3 linked regions of the Astyanax mexicanus genome follow. The protein of the gene in region 3 purifies or fractionates together with the protein of the main gene of each other region. This does not show direct contact. Links are inferred from orthologs where the notes say so. Each region holds a gene or a part of one and is shown on either strand. Other genes may lie near its edges.

The links. The genes of interacting proteins can lie anywhere in the genome.
Region 1: the proteins of ube2o (region 3) and recql4 purify together in Homo sapiens (affinity purification with mass spectrometry; 3 studies listed by BioGRID, with this or other methods). This does not show direct contact. The link is inferred for Astyanax mexicanus from reciprocal best matches to the Homo sapiens genes UBE2O and RECQL4.
Region 2: the proteins of ube2o (region 3) and nap1l4b purify together in Homo sapiens (affinity purification with mass spectrometry; 3 studies listed by BioGRID, with this or other methods). This does not show direct contact. The link is inferred for Astyanax mexicanus from reciprocal best matches to the Homo sapiens genes UBE2O and NAP1L4.

What each region holds. Positions count from the first base shown.
Region 1 is NC_064410.1:3,354,983-3,363,341, reverse strand, and holds the start of recql4 (ATP-dependent DNA helicase Q4), read right to left. Parts: upstream 3,230-8,359; 5' UTR 2,987-3,229; coding exon 2,903-2,986; intron 1,694-2,902; coding exon 1,660-1,693; intron 1,552-1,659; coding exon 1,457-1,551; intron 1,352-1,456; coding exon 1,211-1,351; intron 240-1,210; coding exon 1-239. Other genes in the region: olfactory receptor class A-like protein 4, read right to left, coding at 4,179-4,391, 5,686-5,940, 6,693-6,956. UniProt on the Homo sapiens protein: An ATP-dependent DNA helicase which unwinds dsDNA with a 3'-overhang in a 3'-5' direction. Does not unwind more than 18 bp of dsDNA. May modulate chromosome segregation. The N-terminal domain (residues 1-54) binds DNA Y-shaped DNA better than ss- or dsDNA.
Region 2 is NC_064430.1:13,698,224-13,705,499, reverse strand, and holds the start of nap1l4b (nucleosome assembly protein 1-like 4b), read left to right. Parts: upstream 1-4,047; 5' UTR 4,048-4,131; exon of another isoform or gene 4,132-4,187; intron 4,188-6,690; 5' UTR 6,691-6,713; coding exon 6,714-6,741; intron 6,742-7,276. UniProt on the Homo sapiens protein: Acts as a histone chaperone in nucleosome assembly.
Region 3 is NC_064412.1:29,561,013-29,569,317, reverse strand, and holds the start of ube2o ((E3-independent) E2 ubiquitin-conjugating enzyme UBE2O), read left to right. Parts: upstream 1-5,046; 5' UTR 5,047-5,113; coding exon 5,114-5,638; intron 5,639-8,305. Other genes in the region: ADP/ATP translocase 2, read left to right, coding at 620-1,106, 2,390-2,530, 2,932-3,089. UniProt on the Homo sapiens protein: E2/E3 hybrid ubiquitin-protein ligase that displays both E2 and E3 ligase activities and mediates monoubiquitination of target proteins. Negatively regulates TRAF6-mediated NF-kappa-B activation independently of its E2 activity.

The sequences.
Region 1 (8,359 bases), on a different chromosome or scaffold from region 3:
TTGGAGGACTTGGAGGGGGTGAAGGTGGGAAATGGGTTCAGTGGTTCGTTCTCCAGTTTGCTGCTAGCTGCCTGCACTGGTACGGCCGAAGGGTCTGGGCAAGTGTTGGCTGGTCTTGGTGAATGGGTCTCCACCGCCATCGCTTCCACTGATACTGCACCAAAAGCTGCACTGTCCTTCCAGGACTTTGCTGGTGTTCGGCGAGGGGTGGCTGCTTTTTTGAGGGAGAATGATCGTTCCTAAATTTTAAGATAAGCAGGAAGACAGATGGGTAGACAGACAGATAAGACAGCTACACTGCTAGACAGTCAATTTAATAAGAGTGTAAGAAAATAACAGTATCATGAATCATGCTGTATCACAATATTTAGTTTACCAATACTGTAATTAAACACAGTTCAAAAACAAGAAAAATCAGTAAATCTTAAAATTCTTTAATTTTCACAAAAATCATCAGTGCTCCTTATGTATAAATTCTACCAGTCAGGTTTCAAGTAGCAATAAAGCCACTCCACTGAATTACAGCTTTATAAAGGTGACTTTCAATAAAGCCTCTGAAGCGCTAAGGCTGGGTGCAGCAGTATTAGCATTAGCCGCTAACCGCGCCATTCATAGTTGAGTATATCGGCCTGTGGCCTGTGCGTTTACCTTGTTAAAATAAGCTACTAATGCTGCTGTACCCAGCCTTAGTGAAAAACTGGAAATCTAAGCTTACTCTAAATAAACGGGAAGCGCTTTTCTCACCCAAATAAACAGTTTTCTAGATTAACATCCAGCACTACTTTGACTTTAAAAGAAAATGCTTTTTTTTTTTTTTTAAGAATTACAGTTATGTTTACTTAAGGTAGCTCAGCTTCACAGGTCTCGTCGCCTTCTGAATTACAAGGAAAACATGGTGATACCCTTGTTTCTTCCTAGTGTCGCATAAAATGTGCCTCATAATCCAGTGCACCTTATAGTGCAAAATACGATACATGTTAAAATTGGTGTCAGACAGTGGTTCATTTTAGCAATAAACAGTTCTGCAATTTAATACAATTTAATTCTCACTTGCCTAGGCCAGCTGTGATAAATACATTATTCAACTTAATCAATCAATTTATAACATAAGTACATGCATACATAGATAATGCATATTCTTGTGGTAGGTTCACATGTTATGTGTATTATTTACGAGCATCTATAGTTATCGTGACAGGCCGACACTTACCTTTGACAGAGCTCCGAGATTAGACTTCAGCTTCATGCCGAAGTACTGAGCAGATGCATGCAACGTCTCTTTGTCTTTTAATGTCAGTTTGGGTGCAGCCACTGGCATGCTCTTTCGGTTAAGGTGAGACCCCCAGCAGTCCTTTTAATCACAAGAACACAATCATAATTTATTTAAACATACGGAAACACAATTACAGATCAACACAGATAAACACAGAAACACTGCATAAATCAGGGTACATACCATTCCTGCAGACTGGGATTCCTGTGATTTCACCTGAACATCACTCTCTCCACTAACTTTCGCCTCTTTAAGAGTGCGATACTCTTTATAAAGTTCTGCAAGAGAGCAAATATATTCAGGACATAATGAATATATACAAACAGAACTTTTTATTTAAGAGACAAAAACACGTGCAGTGTATTAAAAATTGATTATTAACTTACGCCTGGTCTCTTCTGGAGCTGCATCAATATCATCCTAAAAAAGCAATCATTAAATTATTTGAGAAATCAACAGTTTAATCCATAAAAAATGTGATAATTAATTGAGAAAAACATCTCACTTGTAGCTTTCTTTATTTAGTTTATAAAAAAAAAAAAAAGACATATTATTGTATAAAAAAAACTGTTTAAGGTTTACATTCCTTCAAATGTCTATGTATAATATTACAAATATATAATAAAAACAACAACAGGATTATTTTTGGAAATACCACCCAATGTGTTACCGTAAAACTAAGATTATCATACTTTTAAAATCTCACAAAATGTAGAACAAGAACTGCTTATATTATTCAACTGACTGCTAAAAATATTAACATACAGCAGATAGTTGACATAATCAACAATGTTTAATACATATATTTACTATATTTATATACTCACACACGCAAACGCACAAATATACATATACATGTAATAAAAAGAACAAAGATTATAATCAGGTGTTTTTTTGTAAACATGTACAGTTTTTACTGTTAATTTGTGTTTGTACTGTTAGGATTTTATGTTGTCCTTAGAACAATAAAATAGACAATTAAATCATATATTTAATTTTTTTTTCTCATATTCTTAGGAGGTTAACCTTATCTATCTATCTATCTATCTATCTATCTATCTATCTATCTATCTATCTATCTATCTATCTATCGCAGCATCACATAGACTTTAATAATATCTACCATGGAAAAAAATATATATATAAATATATAAATAAATAAATATTATATATATATATATATATATATTTTTTTTTTTTCCCATGGTAGATATTATTAAAGTTATTATTCCTCCATATTTCTAGGAGGTTACCCTTTTTTATCCAGCTTACTTTAGAATATCAAGTTTATTCGGATTTAATCACTGTCTTTTAAAACAAATAGGGTATTATCTCAAATGGTGTACATTTGCACGGGCGAGCTGAGATTTATTAAAGAATAGAAAAATAAATACACACAAGCATGACAACATTAGCTAAAGTTAGCTAACCTAATTATCTATCTATCTATCTATCTATATATATTAATAAATCATTATTTAGCTTAAAATTACCACAACTACAACAGGAACCAGCCTGCAGGTAAACACACAGCTTCACCGAGAGCAACAGAAACTCACATCTGAACAATAATGTTTAAATCACTCAGTATAAGAAGATATACAGGAGTAAACATGTAGCTAATGTTACCTTGTTGGGTTTCCTGTTGTTTATCTGCATAAAGGACTGTTCCCATTTCTTCAGGAGGATTTTTAAATCGTTATATCGGTCCATTCTGAGCCCTGAGAGAACCTTCCTAATTTATCTACAGGTTTTATTAGGCTACAGTGAATATTATAACATACAATAACAGGCTGCGCATGGGTGAGAGTTTATACAAGAGAAATAACTTAATAACTTCACCAGAATAACTCAAATAAACCAAATAACCAGCCTTTTACTAACTAACTATCCTACAGATTCAGCTTCAGCTCTCAGCTCGAGCTCCTTTCAACTCAGCGCGCCAAACCTCAAGCCGGTCGGAAAACACAGGAAGACGTCGAACCGGCCCCTGTCAAAATAAGAGTCCCACGTTAAAAAAAAAAAAAAAAAAAAAACAGTTTAGACACATTTTCACTTTCAATGTTTTTCTTTATTTCTTTATTTAATCGATAATAATAACAGTAATAATGCATGGCCTCGACTTTGTATAGTGTTGTATTGTTTGTATTTATGGGACATTCTACCAAATGGGTGCCATTTGCTTGTTGTAAGTCTTCCAAATTTATTTATTTATTTTTTTCTAAAAATCTTAATCTAAAAATGCATGTATTTAACGATTTAAAACATGTGCTGGTCAACCTTTTTACAAGATTACTAAACTGAAGCTGATTTCTCTCAAGAAAGTCTTTATTTTAAAGAAATGGTTGACTGCATGTTCAAATAATTGATATTTATGACAAAACAAATCACTCCTGTTAATGGCACTCACTCCTGTCACTGGCACTCATTCCTGTTACTTTTTATGTTTTGAGTAACAGGATTGAAAGTAACAGTGAATGTTTTTAGCATAGAATTAGCAAAAACATGAAAAATAGCTAAATGGCGGCTATGCTAATGACATGAGGACACTGAGCACGTTCTAGTGATTTTTCCCAAAATATGTGTTATATTATATTGTAATCTGTGTTAAAATTTTTTGGACCACTAGTGGCAGCAATCGTGAGAATTTGCAAAAAAAAAAAAAAAAAACTGAACAGATAAAATGTTAAAACTTGCATGTTTATTATTGTCACCTGGTGTTTTTGACATAGATGTGGCACCATACAAGCCCTTTATTTATTATTAGTTGGCATGGCACAGTATTTATAGGTTTCAGAATAAAAGACCTATCATGACAATATCACTCTAGCAAGCTAAAGTAAGTTTATATTACTTTACTGCATTAAAATGTATCGTCCCTTAAAACCTGCAGAACACAAGTCAGTCAGTGAGAGATGATGGATTTAAAGAACTGTCTGAGTCTCCGGTGTCCCACAGCCAGGATCAGGGGAGACAAAGCTATAAAGAGACTGTTGGAGAAACGGGCCAGAACCAACAGGTACGTAGATGAAGCTCCGCGGTTGTAGTTGAAGTAGTTCACTGAGATCACACTTGCACCCCAGGACACGATGAACAGAAGGATCAGGGCTAGAATCACCTGAAGAGGAGAAATACAAAAAAAATAAGGGAGAAATTAATACAATTAATATGCCCACTCAGAGAGAACAAGGCCATTTGTGCTCTCTCTCAGACTCCAGCTGCTGATGCTGAGCAGCCCCCTGGAGATCTACCACCCTGGAGATTTCAGATTGAACGTACCTGAATCTAGAACATTCACATGCTGCTAAAAAACATTAATTATCTAGATCAGGTGTGAGGGATCTCTCAGACTCCGGCTGCTGATGCTGAGCTGAGCTCGCATCATAGAGCCACAATACAAAAAAAATCTATCGTCAAAAACTAGACAAGATTTATGTAAATTAAGACATATATGCTTATATTAAGCCAAAAAAATCTGCCAATGGGGTGAGCAAATTTTTCTTAGTAAGATTTATTACAAAAAAAAAAAAAAAACAATCGCTAAGTCTTAAAACGAGTGCGGTAAGCTTTAAATCAATCAAAAACATTCAAAAAACGTTTTTTTCTTGCCTTACATTTGGACAAAAGAAACAGAATAACTTAATTAAAATAAGAAAAATAACCTAATGCTTATTTTGAGTTCAAATTACTTAAAATAAAGTAAAAATTTGAAGTATGACTGACAGACCCTGTGTCAATTACAATGGACATCATGTAGTTTCTTTTTATTGAATGTTAATTTACACAGAACACTAATTGAGACGTTGATGTTGTCCATCAGAATAGATCATAAACCAGTCAATGAAACTAGCTTAGACCCGCCCACTGCATTGTACAAAAAAGAAAATGGGCATGTAATCACTACAGAACAAAAAAGGTAAGTTTATCTTAAAAATAAGCTTATTTTTACTAATTCTCTGCAATTTTGAACACTTTTTTGTTATGTTTAGGAATAAAAAGTTTAAATCAATTTAAAGTTTTAAATCAATTTTAATCAGTTTTAATCAATTAGCACTTTCTTTTTTTACATTTGTTTGAAATGTAAAGTGCATTAAAAATAAAATGTATTTTTTACATTTATTTTTAAATAGTGTCTTTTTTTTGGATTACAAAAAGAAAACAGCATTCTTACATTTTCCATCACTGGATCAATTAATTCATGTCTGAAAGGGACAATTATTCCTAAAATAAGCAAAATAATCTAACACTTACACGATGCTTAATAAGACCAAAAGTCTTATCAGGAAAGAATTTAGAAGAAGATTTATAGCCTTAAATTTGATTTTTTTTTTTTTTACTTTTTATGATTTAATTTTTTGCAGTGCAGCTTCTTATTGAAAATAAATGAAAGTTGTGGCAGTAAATGTTCTGACCTTGGCAGCTCGTCTCTCTGCAGGAACCCTGCGGATGACCGGAGCGTCCTGGGCTTTATTCCCGGTGCTGTGGGTGTTTCCGTGTGCGTACAGTGTGAGAAGTGATCCCAGGTTGGTGACGCTCATGAGCACGATGGGGATGATCTCGTGGATCACCATGGAGGTGGTGGCGAAGGCCAGACCGCTGTAGACGGAGGGAAAATCCCACAGGCAGCCCAGTAACGGACGTGTGGTGCTGCTCACCAACATTAACGTCTGTAGTTTAATATATAAGAGACAGAAGGGAGGAAATTTAGTGAGAACAGCCAACAAACTGCAGGTAATAAATACAAATTTCATGAAACACAATTTCTGATTCAACTGAACTAAGCCATGCTCTTCCGTTTGTTGTTTTTACATCCCTTGTTACTCCCATTAACTCCCATTCTTTTTCATGCATGACTTTATTATTTTTTCTTTAAATTTATTTCTATTTTTTTCCCATTTTTCCCAATTTATGTAGCCAATTGTTTCAATCATCAAGCTGCTGAAATCTACCTATAAAATCTAGGTAATTAAGGTCTTAAATTGTCTTGGTTTACTGTAAATTAGCTAGTGGAAAGCTAGCTAACATTAGCGGCGAGTTAGCTAATGTACTAACGTCAGCGGAAAGTTATGTTAACGTTACGGGGGAGAGAACTTTTGGGCCTTAAAAAGCATTAAATTTGACTTTTTAAATGGTGCAAGAACACTGAATCACCCAACACAGGGATGGTAAAGACCAGTACACTGATGCAGCATTGCCGAGTAGCGTCACAGCGCTAGCGACTCGGTTCTGTTACATCAGCTCACAGATGCAGCCTTGTGCTGATCCACGTCACCCTAGGAGTGATGAGGAGAAAGAGAAGAGCGCCATCTACTGTACTGTACCCACCCAGAGAGAGAGAACAAGGCCAATTGTGCACTCTCAGGGCTCCGGCAGCTGATGGCAAGCTGCATGACCAGGATTCAAACCAGTGATTCCGTACCTCTGTGGCGTTCTTTCCTCCGCTGGTGGAGTAAATGAAGGCAGGTACGGAGTAGAGGAGATTGCTGCTCCAGATTAAACCGAACCCCGTTAGAATTCCTCTGGGTAAACCTCGGGGACCGCTCAGGCTGGTAATGGGAGGAGCCGTCCGTCTCAGAGTGTGGAAATGAAAAGCACTGAGGAAGAACGTTGACCAAACGTTCACAGAGCGAAGCCACACCCACACACCCATCAGAATCTGACACCAGTCCTTTCCAGGTAACACCTTGAGGAAAAAATGAGAAGATAGGTAATTAAAAAGCCATCAAAAATTAACATTCATAAGTGCTCCGAAAATGTTGAGGCCCTTTAGAGGCCATCAACTTTTTCATCAGATTTTCCAATATTGGGAAATGCATTAAATTACACATTTTTGCTTAAATTTGGGCAAAAAGTCCTAAAAAATCCTAAAAGTAGATAAAATATTATATATATATATATTAGACTTGAATATTTAATAATTGAGAAATATGATCCCACCACCCCCTATACTCTTTAAGCCTGGATAAATTACATTTACATCCATCTGTTGCCTCAAATTAAAGTAATGTATAAAATGTTACTTTTTCATTTTCTTGATAATCTACAAAATAAAAACCTTATTGCTTCTGGTTTTGTTAAAAAAATAAAAACTGGAAAAAAAATATGAGCCTGTGGTTTTACAGTTTACAGTTTACAGATGTTACAGTCTAAATATGTGAAATCGATCCTTTCTTTTAACATTACTTTTACAGAATCTTAGCGGTAATTTAGAGGTAATTGTGTAAAGGAAATTAATGCTAACTAAATGTATATTCATCCTTATTACAATACACTATTAATTAATACATTATTAGATGTCTTATTTCTAAATTTCTATAATATTAATATAAATAATAGTAGAACTTCTTTAAATTGTAAAAATGTATAAAAATTTAATTATATTTCATTTAGTTCATTTAGAGGTAATTAGGTAATGCCAAAACCTTGTATCTGCCAACTTTAAAAGATAATAGGATAAAACATTTTGACACAGTGTTAAAAAATAAAACAGTCAGATTTACATTGACACTTCTATTTAGCATTGCTTTAACTTTTTCTTAGTAAATTAAATTAGGTAATGGTTGTTAAAATAACTAATTATATTGATAATTTAGAGGTTATTCGGTAATGCCAAAAATTTGTTTTTGACAACTTTACAGGATAATAAAAAAAAATAATAATAATTGGAGCTTTTCTATTGGTCCATTCATTGTAAAATGTCAAAAAGTGAAAAATGCTATTGATTCTTTCTTTCAGCGTTACTTTTACTTTTTCTTAGATAGTAAAGTTTTATTTTTGGTTGTAAATAAAAACGTAATTATATGGTTATTTTAGAGGTAATTAGGTAATGCTAAAACCTTTTATCTGCCAACTTTACAAGAGATTAAAAAATAATAATAATTTTGGAGCTTTTCTATTGGTCTACTCACCCTGAAATTTTGACACAATGTAAAAAAAAAAGTGTAATGTGTCATTATTCTTAGATAATTATATTAGTCAATGGTTGTAAATAAAGATGGAGTTATATGGTTAATTTAGAGGTTATTAGGTCATGCTAAAAGCTTGTATCTGCCAACTTTAACAGAGAATAAGAAAAAACTCATTTTG
Region 2 (7,276 bases), on a different chromosome or scaffold from region 3:
ATCTTTAGCCTTACTGTACCTCAATACCAAAGACAAGCTGTGGAGTTTCTTTCTTAAAGAAGAACATAATTTTATACCCTTTTTTAGTAAAATTCTGGAAAAAAGAAGGATTGAAATGACACTGAAAAAGCATTCTGGGTATTAGGTTTTTCTGTTTGTTTGTTTGTTTGCTTGTTTATTTAAATTGTTGTTTTGAAGGTGGGAGGGGGAAGGACAATTTAAGCAACCCAACCTGTCCTGTAGCACTGGAACCTTCACAACACGTGTATTATTATATCACTACTGGTATGGTTTGCAAAACATATGTAGCAAGACAGATATTTACAAGGCTGTTGAAAAAGTGAGTCTTTTTGAAGGTCATTTTTGTACATATTAAACCTTCATAAGACTAATCCAAGGCACTGTTTATTATACTACTATTGTTATTAATAGGCTGTTAGTCTAAAATGTTAAGACTGATAACTAATAAGTTATCTGCTCCCTAAATGTATGTTTATTTATCAGTGGTCAGCAAGTCTGCACCTGTCTGAAAAACTAGTCCTCTTGTACAGATAGATTATCCCAAGTGTTCTTTTTGTTTTGTTTTGGTTGTAGTTGTTCAATTTTTTGTTTCTGTTTTTGTTTGATTTTTTGTTTTTTGCTAGTGCTCTATCTTTCAAAAGAGCCTGCTTGTGTGAAAACATGGCATGGATTATTAAAGATGTGTTGTGATATTTAGAAGACTTCCAAGTTTCGTATCTTTCTGTGGATAGGGATTTAACAGCTTTTTTTGAAAACGACTTTTCAAACCTCACAGGTTTTCTTATTATGAAGTGCTTCAGATGCAATTAAAGTCCTACATAGAGGGTGATTTGCAATTCAATGCCCTTTTCCAGAGACATTTTTGACAGTGGTGGTGATCAGACCCTGACATTTGTAGAATTTAACACCTCAAAGCTGCAAATTCACTGCCAGATGCCTGTTAACACTGCCTTATATGGATGCAAGAAATATAGCTATCTATATTGTATTGTATTGTATTGTGATATCTTGGCATGTTCTCCTCCACCAGTCTTACACACTGCTTTTGGAGAAATTGATGCCACGCCTGGTGAAAAAATTCAAGCAGTACAGCTTGGTTTAATGGCTTGTGATCATTAATCTTCCTCTTGATTATATTCCAAGGGTTTTCAATTTGGTAAATTTAAAGAAACTAATCATTTTAAGTGGTCTCTTATGTTTGACTTCTTTTATTAAAATTTTATAGGATAAGTGTTTAAATACTATCTAAAATTTGACAACAGTCACAATATGTAATATGCAATATATCGCAATATTGAATCATATCTCCTGTATCATGATATGTATCGTATTGCCACAGCCCTATTGCTTTAATTTAGTTTTAGCATTAGGAGATGGTTTAACGGACTCTCTGAAGCAAAAAAAAACAACAACAAAAAAAACATTTCCACTATGTGGAGCAGAGGAATTGTGTTTGGCTCTATAATAATGATGCTCCATCCAATATTTCTAAAATGTTAAAGTTGTAGAAGTTAAGAGTGAAGATGTTGTGGGGTGGTTTTGTAATCACCCAACAAGCATGACCTCACCATTGCTCTTACTACTGGATGCAATCAAAGGTCCTTAATACACTTGGTTTATTAAGAAACAGTTAATATGCAGGTGTCACAATACCACTGTCCATGTAGTAGATTTCTATCACCACCACTGTAAAAACTTTACAATGCACCATTTCACTCCAACACACTCTGAAAACTATGTTAGAATTTTAGCATTTCTTATTTTCTTACTAAAAAAATGAAAGATTCTGCTTTAAGCCAGGATTTAAAATTCGCTTTTGTAAAACTGATATTTTAAAAAACATAAAAGAACAATTTGATCCCAGGTGTGAAAGTGCCTGTCCATAACCATGCAGTTAATACAACATATAAATAATTCTGCTAGAAAGATACAACGATTCGCCACTTTGTTTGCATTAAATGATGTTTACTCAGCAGTTGACCTTTTCTGTATGGTCAGTTTTTTGTCGTGTTCATTTTATTTTGGATTTTTTTAGTTTTCTTTAGATTTTTGCTAAGTACATGTGAGGAGAAGTTTGTTTTGTAATTATTACTGTCAATATTGTACTTGAAGCCAGCACTGATGATTTGATCTTAAATACGATATAGGCCTGAATGATGGCTACTCCTCTCTGGTAGAACTGATTTTTGATGTATGACCTTTTTTCCTTGTGGTGTTATATCCTGTACAGCAGACCGTATGGAAGTTTGATAAAGTTGTACGGCATTTCAGAAGGGTTTGCTCTTCTTTTTTTTTTTTTTGAATAATGCTTGCTGAGATTTTTTTATGACGTTTAAAAATAATAATAATAATAAAATCATTGTAAAGTACCAAACTCTGTGTGCTGCTTTGGGGTAAATAATGTAATGCCAGTGTAAAGCTAAAAACTTAAAACACACTGCTATGCAAAACATTTCTCTTTTTTTTACCTGTTGTCTTGTTTTTTATGCTTATAAACATGTATATAGATATACAGATTGATGTATAGCATAAGTTAAAAGAAAAGTCCCTTGGTTATATGAGAATTAGTGTTTCTTGCTCTTGGACTCCCTCTAGAGCTGGGAAGTATAATTTGCAGAGACACAGAACTGACATCTAAAGTGAGTACAGCCCATTTCAAGTTACATAGTGCAGTTTCTGGCAAACCAAGCCCAGAATAGCAACAATGCATTTCTTTTTATTACACATCAGTAACAAGGGTCATGTACATTTCCACTCATAAAAAAGAGAATTCTCACATATATTATTGCTACTACTAGATTTCTTGGCTCCAGACTTAAGAACCCCTCTCTTTGAATCTGATCTTAACCAGTTTTTCAGGTAACCTCCAAGTGTGCTATGTGTCCTATTTCAAGGAATGCAGGGCACTGAATCACCAGGATCATAAGAACCATTGGACTCATTGTATGGGAGCTCTTCTCCCAATTTAGCTTCAAAAATGAAACATGCTTCATAATATGGCTTGGTGTCATAAAAACTATTTAAGAGCTGTTCAACTATTTAAGCACTATCTAAAAGGCTTTTGGTCCATTGGTGTATAATTGTTATGCTTGTGGCTATATTAATAGTAAATCTTTAAGTTACAGGTTTTTCTAAGTATTATTTTTAAGCCTTTGAAAATGAAGAAAGGAACTGTGGATGTAATCATTGCAGTTCTTCCTTTTTTAACCACAACATAAAACAAATATGTAAAAAGTATTTCAAGAGGTAACAAAGATCAAGAAAGATTAAGGGGTCTTTTTAGGTCATTTCGAATCTATTAGTCATTTGGAGTCACATATGTGAAGTATATTAGCACCTGTTGTTTTAGCTTTGAGATTGAGCATTGCAAAGTGTTCATATACTTAAAAACAGTCTTAAAACAAGAAATAATGGTTTGGCACCACTAAATGTGCATTTATGAATATGAAATAAACCAAACAACAAGAACAGGTTGATCTCGAATAAAGGATTTCATTATTTCTGTAAAAACTAATCAATGTAGTTCTTTTTGTCTTGTTTTTGTTTGGGGGGCCGGGGTCTCAAATAAACCATATTATTCCAATAAGAAATAATCCAATTCAGTTCGGAAACTGCAGTTCTGAGCTTACTTGTTTTTTTTTTTTTTTTTGTGGGAATGGGGATATAGAACATATTAAGTGGATAAAGCATATCTTTACCCTATAAATCCTGTATCTCCAATAAAGCAAAAAAAAATTATAATAAAGTTTAAATAAATAAATAAAAAAAATAAATTTAAATAAAATTTAAATAAAATTTAAATAAAAATAAAAAAAAATCAAATGTTAAATAAAAATAATAAAAAATAAAATAAAAAATAAATAATAATACAATATAAAAAAAATAATAATAATAATAATAAATACAAATTTAAATACAAATTTTATTGAAATAAAATTTAAATAAAAAATAATAATAAAGTTTCCAACAAAAAATAATAATGAATGCAGTTCTGAAACTCTTTGAGTTTACTCTGATGTTGAATTCCGCTGGTCCTTGACGTTTCGTTAAGGCGGCGCTACTCGGACGCCGGAAACCAATGGGGTCTATCTACTCTAGCGCTGCTTCAGAGTAAGTAGCGCACTTCACTGATACTGCCCATGTGAGAGAAAACAGCTCTGGAGGAGGTAAGGAAGTGAACATCGTACAGAAAGATCCTCTGAAGATCCAGATGATTCTCTGAGTTAGTTATGTAGTTAGTTAATTAGCAGGTCGATTCCGTTACTCGCTGGGCTGAACTGTAGCAGTAACGCTGTTGTAGAGGAGATGTAGTAGAGTTTAGCTGGCGGGCTAGTTATAGTTAACATAGCGTTGTTTTTCTTGTTTTTCTGCTGCGTAAGAACAGCTTTGTCGGGATTCTGTTGGCCGGCTGATGTTGCTGGTCGATTTAACAGCGTTGTTAGAAAACAGAGTGAACGTCTCTATCCTCCAGATTACATTAATGAGGATATTTCTGTGACTGACTGCTGAGCAAACTGCTGATGTGTCTGAGATACAATAACACAGTGAAGCAGCGCAGCTTTAGGTGAACTAGCATAGCTAGTTAGCGTTAGCTTTATTTTCACTGACTAGCAAACGTTAGCTATCATATTGACGTAGCAGCTAACTAGCTAGGTTAGTGAGTTTAGCTTTAGCTAACTACAAATCATCGTCCATTTATAAAACTTAGCTACATCTATAGTCAGCTAGCCATACCTAGCCTAGCTTAGCTAATTTTGAGCAGCGGGCTAGCGAGCGCTTCTGGCACCGCCCAGCCCCTCTCGCCTCAGTGTTAAGCTAGTTAGCTTAGCTAACCGAGCTACTTATAGCTACAACATACTTATCATTTATTGTGTGAAATGTCTGCAGTAATAACCCTTTTAATAATAACAGAACCGCTTTAAAAGAACGACTTCTGTGTGTTAAGCTAGGCTATGGTAGCAGGGTTATGTGGTTAGCAGTGCTAGCTAGCTAGCTAATCAACATAGCCAGCTCCGCAGATTGAAGCTGCGCTGCTAGCGTTAGCTAACAAAGTTAGCCGAATTGCGTCACCGGCATCAGCAGTTTTCCCGCAAGTCGAGCTACTGAACAACTGTAGGATAGAATATGGGCTGGAGATGCTAGAGTTTGATAATGTTTTAAATTCCCTCAGAATTAGTTGGCTTAAAACATGTCTGATAAACAAATATAATTCAATTTGGTACTTTTATTAAAAATAATATTTTCAACAAAATTGGAGACCTAGCATTTATCTTATATTTATTTGACTAATAAGCTCCCAATTTCTTTCTCTAGTTTGCATCAACAGGTGCTTCTTGCGTGGAAGCTGTGCTTTGTTCATAACTTCTCTCCACATAAAACGTTTTTTATGGAATAACTCTGACATAACTACTAAAATAAGTCAGTATTTTATCCAACGTTATTCACAGAGGTATTCAGGGAATTATTTTAATTTTTATTTTTGACAGTTCTGGAAATATTCTCTCATATGAACTATTTATGGCTACACATAACTTCCCTGGACCCCTTCAGAGAATACTACACATTAGCAAAAGCCATTCATAAAGGCCTTATTCAACTAGTTTAAGTAATTCAATAAAATACATATTAGAAATATATTACATACCAAAAAACAAATTTCTCCCAGAGGGAAGTTTTACTGGACGTCTTTAATTGGACATATTGAATGAAGAAGAACTTGGCTTTTACCACATAAATACTGCATGTAATTTATATATATTCTAAGTTATATCTCATATTTTTATATGTTGTCTTAAAAAGTCGAACAACTGAAGACTTTAAAACATTGTAACGTAGCTAGTTGTCAGTAATTATTACAATAGTGTTGCCAGAAAATGTGTAAATGTATTCCCTGATATCAAAGAAACATTAAATAAAGTAGGGCTGCAACTATCAATTATTTTGAGCAACATTTCCAACATTTTATTTAATAAACCAAACAGTTCCCAATAGTATTTTTTTTTATTATTATTGCTTAATCTGTCTGTTATTATTTTGATTAATCGATTTTTACTCATTTTTGCACTAATGTTGTAACTGTATAAGAAACATACATCCTAACTAACATTTATTAAAAATAGTATTGTTTACATACTAAACTTATCGATTATTATATTATTATTATTATACTATTTTAATAATTGATTTGTTGTTGCAGCCCTAGAATAAATGTATGATAACAGAAAGCAGGCTTTAAACAATCTTTAATTTTGCTATAGACAATGTATGCTAATGCTGAATTTCTGACAATTCTGACAACCTTCATTTAAAGGTTTGGAATTTAACCGCATGCTGATAGATTAAGACAATAATTATTAGAGGAAATAATTAGTACTTTAGTACACAGACTATAATAAATCAGTTCTGATTCTAGAAATCAATGTTTTAGTGAATTAGAGACAGGAAAATGAACATTGATTCTACATACTTTTGCTATCTGAGAGGCAATCTGTTTATATGAATGAGTACTTTTTGGTGGTTGTTTGTGTGCTGCTGATTCAGGTCTGAGCTTGAATTGTAAGAGCATTTGTTGTTTCAGCCCTTTTGTTTTTCTGCCCACACCTGGCTTACCAGCTTTAAGCCATTTTGCAAATAATGCTTCAGTTCATAACGTGTTTGTCCCCTTCATAGACCCTTTGAGCTGTGCTTACGAGATGGAGGGTGACAAGAACGAAGCCAAAGGTACAGTAACTGTGATCCCTCTGTAAGATCCTCAATTATCTCTGTTATGTGTTGTGGAAAAGAGCGGACCATTCTGTTGCTGTCTTGGCTGCTGAAAAATTAATCAGCAGGTGGACAGTTGTTTCTTCTGTGAGTTACCCTATGAATGATTATTCCGAGATGCCATTCTGAAGAAAGCCAGTGTAAAGTTTCAGCTTAAAAGTTTCATGAAAACTTGATATTATGCTGCCAAGACGTTACAGCAATTAGATCCCCTCCCTCCAATCTGTCTTCCACACAGATGTGGAGAGATACCTTAGAAATCTCTATGTTAAGGCATTGTTACAAATTAAATATGTTAATAAAGTTAAATATGATCTCTTGACTGGCTGAGTAGTTTTTAGGAAAGGTGCCACGTTTTAGTTTAGTTTCGTATTTCAGGTTTGATTTTTTTCCCTGTGATTTTACTCAGAGATCTTTTGGGCATTATAATCACCTTATATAGGATCATACATTTATTTGAGCTGTATTTGATAATTAATTTGATAATACCAGC
Region 3 (8,305 bases):
GGTCTTTATTTACAAATTTAATGTACTATTTGAGTGCAGGTGACTGAACTGTATTTCACAGTTATTCTGACAAGAACTCATCTATTTGCCATTTTATCATTCTCTTACTATTCTTTTTTTATTAATTCTCAATGCCTAGAGTTTCAATTGCCCCACAGTCACCACCAAACTGTTTGTGCAGGTCCCCAAGCTCTAATCCTCAGCCATACTGACCTGCACTTATTCTTCTGTCGTATTTTATCTCTTGTTCCTCACACATTAGCTGAACAACCATTCTACATTTTCTTCGATATGGAAAAAAACTCTTTTATAGCCAGCCAATCAAAATTTTCAAACTACTGCTAAGGTGTTGTAATTGGACACCTTGCTGCACTTCTAAAAGGCTTACTCTGTATTATGACACTATGCTGGCTAGCATTGCACTGAATGATGGGGGAGAGGGAGGGTCATCCTATATCCACTTAGAGAGAGTGAGACCAGTTATGCTCTCTACAACTCCTGGAAACCTGCAGCCTTCTGATAACAAGGCCAACGCTTAGACAGTTGCACCACAGATCTACCCCAAATCCATTCCAATCTTCACAATAATCTTAAATATTCTTCTCAAATCTTCTTACAGGTTCAGCATGCCAGCAAACACATCACGGCTGATAAGCAGTACAAGGGCATCGTCGACTGCATCGTCCGCATTCCCAAAGAGCAGGGCTTCCTCGCTTACTGGAGAGGCAACCTGGCCAACGTCATCCGATACATCCCCACTCAGGCCCTCAACTTCGCCTTTAAGGACAGGTACAAGACGTTCTTCCTGGCTGGAGTGGACCAGCACACCCAGTTCTGGAGATATTTTGCGGGTAACCTGGCTGCAGGGGGCGCCGCAGGAGCAACTTCTATGTGTGTAGTCTACCCGCTGGACTTCGCCCGCACTCGCTTGGCTGCTGATATTGGTAAGGTGAAGGTGGAGAGGGAGTTCACTGGGTTGTCGGACTGCTTCGTCAAGATCTTCAAAGCTGATGGACTCGGGGGACTCTACAAGGGCTTCGGTGTGTCAGTGCAGGGCATCATCATCTACAGAGCTGCCTACTTCGGCATCTATGATACTGTCAAAAGTGAGTATATGTCTATCTATGATACTTCGGTATCTATGATACTGTCAAAAGTGAGTATATACCTATACTTTCATATACCTAGGTAGACGTATACATTTATATCACTAGTTCTCAGTTATGGTCCTGTAGAACCTGTGTGATGCATATGTGTATCGTTATTTTATTAAAACCATATAATATTAGCTATTGAAATTAATATTCCTGGTCACCTTATTGACTAGCCTGTAACAGAAGCATTTGGACAGCTCAGACTCTTTAGAATTTTTTGCACCTCGTATCCAGAGTTTTATAGAGGTTTATCACTTGTTCTGAATAATTGATTTTGCACCGCGGACCGTTTCTGGGCTCGTCTGAGGGACGAGAGGAACTTTTTCCAAGCTGTGAATCGATTGCATGGTTCCATCCACCTCTTAGTAAATATTGCAGTTTGCGGTTGTTTTTCTATTTTACTCATAAACACTCATAATGCAAAGAACAGCAGCAGGAGCTCCTCAGATAAAGTGGTGTTCTCATTTTTCTCCAGGCAGGACAGAGTGAGACGAGCGTTTGACTCCACAGAGCTAAGCTACAATTACTCCAATGTGTTAGCTTGTTATGCTAACTGGCTAGCGTTAGTTAGCAAGCTGTGTCAGTATGCTTCTTTACCAGTTTTAATTTCCCCTCCGGTATAACATATGAACCGGTATACCGCCCAGCACTAACCGTACAGTACAAATAAACAAATACAAATGTGGAATATTCAATCATGATCACACACATATAGACCAGATGACATGACCCACACAATATTCCATGTGAGCCCCACATATGAATGTCAGTGATGGGCTCAGAAGGGGTTAACCATGGGCCCTATCTGGGCTGTACACTGCACACAGATCCTAGATGGGACCTGTGTGAGAATAAGATGGGCTATAGCGATAGAGGGCTGCAACCTAGATCATGTTCTACGCCTGTGAGCCCCACATGAGCATTTTGGCTGGAGAAAAGATATTTTTTTCTAAATAAAATACACGTTGCCATGCTTATATTAGAAAAAAAAACACTGATCGGACTGTCTTCATAAATGTACATACATTGTATTTAACTAAATTCAGCAACTCTCTGATTTTTCTTTCCTGTTAAAGGAAATATGTTGACATTGGTGTTTGGGGTAATTAACCAAATACTACAGACACAGCAGACAGAAATTTATACTTTGGGCTGGACTGTTTCGTTAGCGAGGTTAAAATGGGTGTATTTTGGAAAGCATTGGAATGTGCACTAAACACAACTTCTGTCTGTAGGTATGATGCCAGATCCAGAAAATATTCACTTCATGTTCAGCTGGATGATCGCTCAGAGTGTGACCACTGTGGCTGGAATCATATCCTACCCTTTTGACACGGTCCGACGCCGTATGATGATGCAGTCTGGACTGAAAGGAGGTAAGATCAACACTGATAACAAACCTAGCAACAAATTAAATTGCAGATGACCTATTTTGTTATGTGCCATAAGTTCTTCTGTAGTATCTGGACACTTTCAGACATAAGCAGCAGATCCTTCACGTTTTGTCCTTTAAGTTATGAGTTGGGGCCTTGATGACCTTGTTACCAGTTTACTGGTTGTCCTTTGAGCATTTTTGGTAGTTACACCCCACAATACCTTCCCAATGTTTTGGAGATGATCTGACCCAGTCATCTACCCGTCACAGATTTCTTGTCTCTCAGATTCTTACTTTTGCCCATTTTTTCCTTCTTCAACACAACAACTTAAACTCACTTTTTATTTCTTCACTTTTTATTCATTCTTGTTATATTTTCTTTTTTTTGTTGGGAATATACAGGGGATGCATTCTACACCGGCACAGTGGACTGCTGGAGGAAGATTGCTCGTGAAGAAGGCATGCAGGCCTTTTTCAAGGGAACCTTCTCGAACATTCTGAGGGGCGTTGGAGGCGCCTTGGTGCTGGTTTTGTACGACGAATTCAAGAAATTCACCTGAATGACTGCCGTCAACCTGTGTTTGTGTGGAACCTGCCAGCAGTGTGTGTGGAAAGATTTATTGGTAATTGATTGAAATGGGGTTTTATGAATCATTGATCATTGTGTTGCCTTTTTTAAAGAATATTTATATAAATAGTATAGAAAAGTCGCAGGACACTTTTTTAAATCAGAAACGAAAGGGAAAAGTAATGAAAGCAAAAATTACATATCTGAATAACCCAGGCTATGTCTGGAACATGGCCAGTATTTCAAAAGCCATATTACGCTTTGGAAATAAGAGTGTCCTGTGATTTTTGACTTACTCTGCACACTGAGGAGGCAAAACATTATGACCATTGAATATGGCAGCTAGTGCCTTTAAAGGTATTCTGTGGTATCTGTCACCAAGACATTATCAGCAGATCCTTTTCTATGTCCTGTAAGTTTTGAGGTGGAGTCTACATGATCTGATTCACCAGTTGTTCTTACTTAGTGTGCTGACCATTGCATACTGGGAACTCAGGTGCTATTGGAACATGTGAGTGGTTTTAATGTTATGGCTGACTGGTGTATGTGTGTGCGTGTGTGTATATATGTAACAAACCAATAAAATTTATAAAAAACCTGGTGTGTCTGTAGTATGTCTTTTTATCTGTTGATGCACAATTTATGTTAAGAAAGAAGTTTATTTTTCAATAGATTTCTTAATCATTTAATTACACAGATATATTAAGGCGGTTGGGTATTAGATCGCCTATTGTTACCCATTCCCCACTGCCCAGTGAACAATATCATGCCAGCAGTGATGAGCCTCTAACCCAGCCTGCCTGCCAACAATCTGCATTCACACACTGACACCATGCGGCGGGATGAGGTCACCCTGGCCGTGTGCAGTAACGCCTGTAGGCCTGTGGGTGGAGCAGCAGGCCACACTTCAGTCCCTGTGCTGCTCAGAAGGCCTGAGTCAGAGCTGAGCATGATGATGCTGGGGGCTGTGTCACTTTACAGAAAGATGCATGAGGCAGGCAGGAGTGAGACAGATCAGACAGGTGAAGTCACATAAACTAACCTCACTTTACATCTCAGGAAGCGTTAGAGGCAGAATCAACAGAAGTTCAGTATGGCATGTGAAATACAAATACAAATTAAAATATGATTCCAGGTGTAAAATATTTCTTAACTTCAAGCTTAAACAAAGAAGAGACTGATGTGTGCTTCTTATTGGCTCTGAATAAACAGAAATATAAATAAATAATTGGTTATTAAAACTTTTCCTAACAGTGCACATTTTTACATTTTTAACATGGATTAAAAAAACATTTATGCATATTATTAAGATAAAAATAATAAGAGTTACCAGTAATAATAACAATAATAAAAAATAATAATAGCAAAGTATTATTATTATTAGCTTCAAATAAATAATACCACTACTATTTTTACTACTTCTATTATCATTAATATTAAATAATAGATGTATAAATCATATTGTAAGTTTAAATATTGCAATAACATTGATTCATTTATGTTTTAAAAAGAATACCAATAGTAGTAATAATAATAATAATAGTTCTGCTTCTTCTTTTTCTTCTTCTTCTTATAATTCTCACATTAATAACTACAAATAAATGATCACTATTATTACTATTATTACTTAATTATACGAATTACTATTACAATTAAATAATAATATAAATGTTAAAGTTATGGTTAAATATTACAATGATAATCTGAATTATAGTATTACTATGATAATATCAATAATTATAAAATAATTCTATTAATGATTCTATTTCAAAAAGAAAATTAATAGGAACCTCGGTAATACACACTTCTACAGTAATTCGTTCCTATTATTGTAATAACTATGAACTGAATTCTAGGTGTGTATAAAGTGAATGAAATCACAGGCTGCTGCTGAATTCTCTCTTATTCGAGTTCAGCGACGTGCAGCGCTTTTTGCGTGGCCACGTTAACCACGTGCTGCTCGCAGCTCCGCTTTTTCGCTTCGTCTCTCCGCCGCCCGTCTCACTAACAGCAGCGATGGCGGATCCAGCAGAAGCAGCAGCGACGGCGGCAGTCCCGCCGCAGACCTCCCCGGCTCTCTCCCCGGCGCTCAGCCCGGGCTCGGAGCCTCCCTCCATGGCTCTCTCGCCGTCCGCAGGCGGCGCCCAGCGGCTCCTGTTCTCACACGACTTGGTCTCGGGTCGACACCGCGGCTCTCTGCGCTTCGGCCTGGTGCGGATGATTCACGGGGAGGAGGACTTCGAGGAGTCCGACTCGGATGTGGAGGATGGCGGCGGGAGAGGAGGCGGTGGTGGCGGCGGAGGTGTTGGAGGCGGCGGTGGAGGTAGCGGTGCTGGAGGAGGTGGCGGCGGCGGCGGCGGCGGTGGAGGTGGTGGAGGAGGAGGAGGAGGCGGCGGCGGCGGCGGTGGAGGAGGCTGCATCCCCGGGAATTCAGACACTGAGAGCGGGGCGGCTGACTCTCGGACGTGGCCTCTCGGGAGAGGCTTTGTACGGGTGCAGTGGTACCCTGAAGGGACGAAGCAGGATGTTCGAGAAACGAAGGTAATTTTATGCTCCGGTTATTCGATTTTTAATCCGTTTTATTGTCCTCCAGCAGCATCCCTCTCTGGTTCATCCCTGATTAGCCCGTGTAGCTAACCCAGCTAGCTAATAATGTCTTCTCCACGCCTGCTAACCTAACTAGCAGAGGCAGGTAATCGCTAGCAAAACGACGATTAATCGATTGTTCGTAGATGAATCGTACAGTTTCCCCGCTTCTTTGCGTAAAAGAAACATATAATGCCTTGACAACGGTGGAAGTGTTTTTGTTTTATTTTAGGTCTAATTACGCTACAATTGTCCCAGGCTTTTATGATTATTTTTCATTAATGGCATAAAATGAAGATAAGTAATCGATAATGTAAGCGCATAATCAGATTTGCATAAAGCATAGAATTACAGCAAACAGATGCAAACAAGTCACCATGGATGAATGGGTACAGATTATGATGAATACAGGTAATTCACCTGCTGCTTAGAAGGTTTATTGTTTTTTGATAGATTTTTGGTCAAGGTAACCATGTTTCAACATGATCTATCTCGTTTAGCAGACTGCTCTTGTTTTTTTTCTGTAACCTTCCATCAAAACACTCTCTCAATCCTGTTTTTTCAGGATTTTAAGATTTTCCCATGCACCAGTTCCTAGTCCCAGCTCCCCATCATGCAAACCTCAAACGACACCTCTGAGACCCTCCCTGTTCACAGTTTTTACTTATGTAAATACGTAAAAGAACAATAAATTATGCCACAAATCCATTTGGACTTGGGATCGTTATGTCAGCAGGTTGCCTGCTGATCCATGCACAAGAAAGCTGTCAATGGTGGTGTTTACTGTGGTGGATGCTTCTACACCCATCTCCAGATTCCGAAAGGCCAATTCAGTGCCCTGATCTAAACAACAAAAGTGTGCCACCGCTGTTGACTGTGGGCCACACGTTTTGACAGTTGTATTGGATGGCGTGGGCTGGGCAAGTATTCGTGTGCTCTGCCCTTTGTGTGAATCACACAAAGAATTGATTATTCCAGGCTGGGCCTCACTAGAATCCACCTTTTAGGTCACTTCTGAAGCTCATCAGCAGTGATAAATGCGCATGGCTGTGAATGACCTTAAAACAAAGATTGGGTGTTCTAGCAAAAGGTTTAAGCAATTTTCTAGGATAACTGCTCAACCCATCCATATCGGAACAAAGCCTAGGCCAGCCTCATGAACCTAGGTGTGTCTCAGCATTGATTAGCCAGGCTTTGCTGATTCGAGCAGTGACCCCTCGGCCTACTGATGTTCTGTCCTGCAAGTCGTAGTTTTTTAAAAATGAATGTGCAAAAATGTTTCAGGCTCACTTTTGTGAGGCAGGTTGTGAAATTTTCACAGTTATTTTGCAAATAATGTAGTCTAGAAGGGTTCTGTGGCTTAACGGAATTAAAGGATGTAGGTCTACACATGTTCGGGAATTGAAGGGCCATAACAAAATTAAAATATAGAATCCACTAGGGATGGGCGACATGGCCTTAAAATAATATCACAATATTTTGTGGTGTTTTTGAGATAACGATACTCTTGGCGATATGACAAAACACTGAATTCCAAAAAAATATTTAATAAATACAATACTGCAACAAAATGAAAGTTAAATGCTATTCTTGTATATGATATGATATGGCACACTCCTAACTGAGATACAATAATATAATAAAAATACAATAATTTGATCAGATTTTTTTTTACAGAAGTCAGTAATTGAGAATGTCATGATACTAAAATCCACTTCAAATATCTCCATCTATCCAGGATTAAAGTAAAATAAATGATACTGGACAGATTTAATCTGTCTTTAGTAGATGTTAAATGAGAACAGTGTAAATTTTTCTTTTGCTAAAAGTAGCAAAAAGGTAGTACCCTGATGTGATGATTAGGGGTGGGTGATATGGCATGATATTTTAGGGTATAATATAGTTATATTTAAATATGATATTTAAAAATGTTGACTATTATTGCGATACCATATGGCACACCCCTAGAATCCACATAGATCAGCATTAAAGAAATCCTTTACATGCAGTGCTCCAGTATCATCTAAATACACTGCATTGTTTTGTTTTTAGACAGTGGTCAAATTGAACATCTGTATTACAAGGATTTACATTACAAAACAGTTTGCTGATCTAAATGAACAAAAGTGTAACCTGAAGAAAAATGCTCAAGGCAGGAATTTCTTGTTTAATTATTGCTTCAAATAAGTGATTACACCTTTTAATAATTTATATTTGACCTGAGCTGCATATCAATTTTACAGCATAAATAACTTTGTTAAATAAGTGTACTAATACTGCATTCGAATTAATTTGGAACTGTGAACTTTTACACATGTTGCATGGTGTATTTGATTCATATTATTGAAATGGACTGTTATTTTTAGTTTTTTACTTGTAAAGGTCTTTTTGGCCCATTAAATAACAGATAATGTTATTTATCGGGAATCTTTGAAGAATAGAAAGTACTATAAATATATCAGTGTGTTGTTTGTTTATTTAATTCACAGAATTGTTATAATATGGATTTAATATTAATATTAATATATTAAAAATATGGCCATAAAAATGCATGATTGTTGCCTTGCTGAAAGCAGGTGCACACTTTAAAAGCAAACACATGATACTGTCCTCCAACAAGTA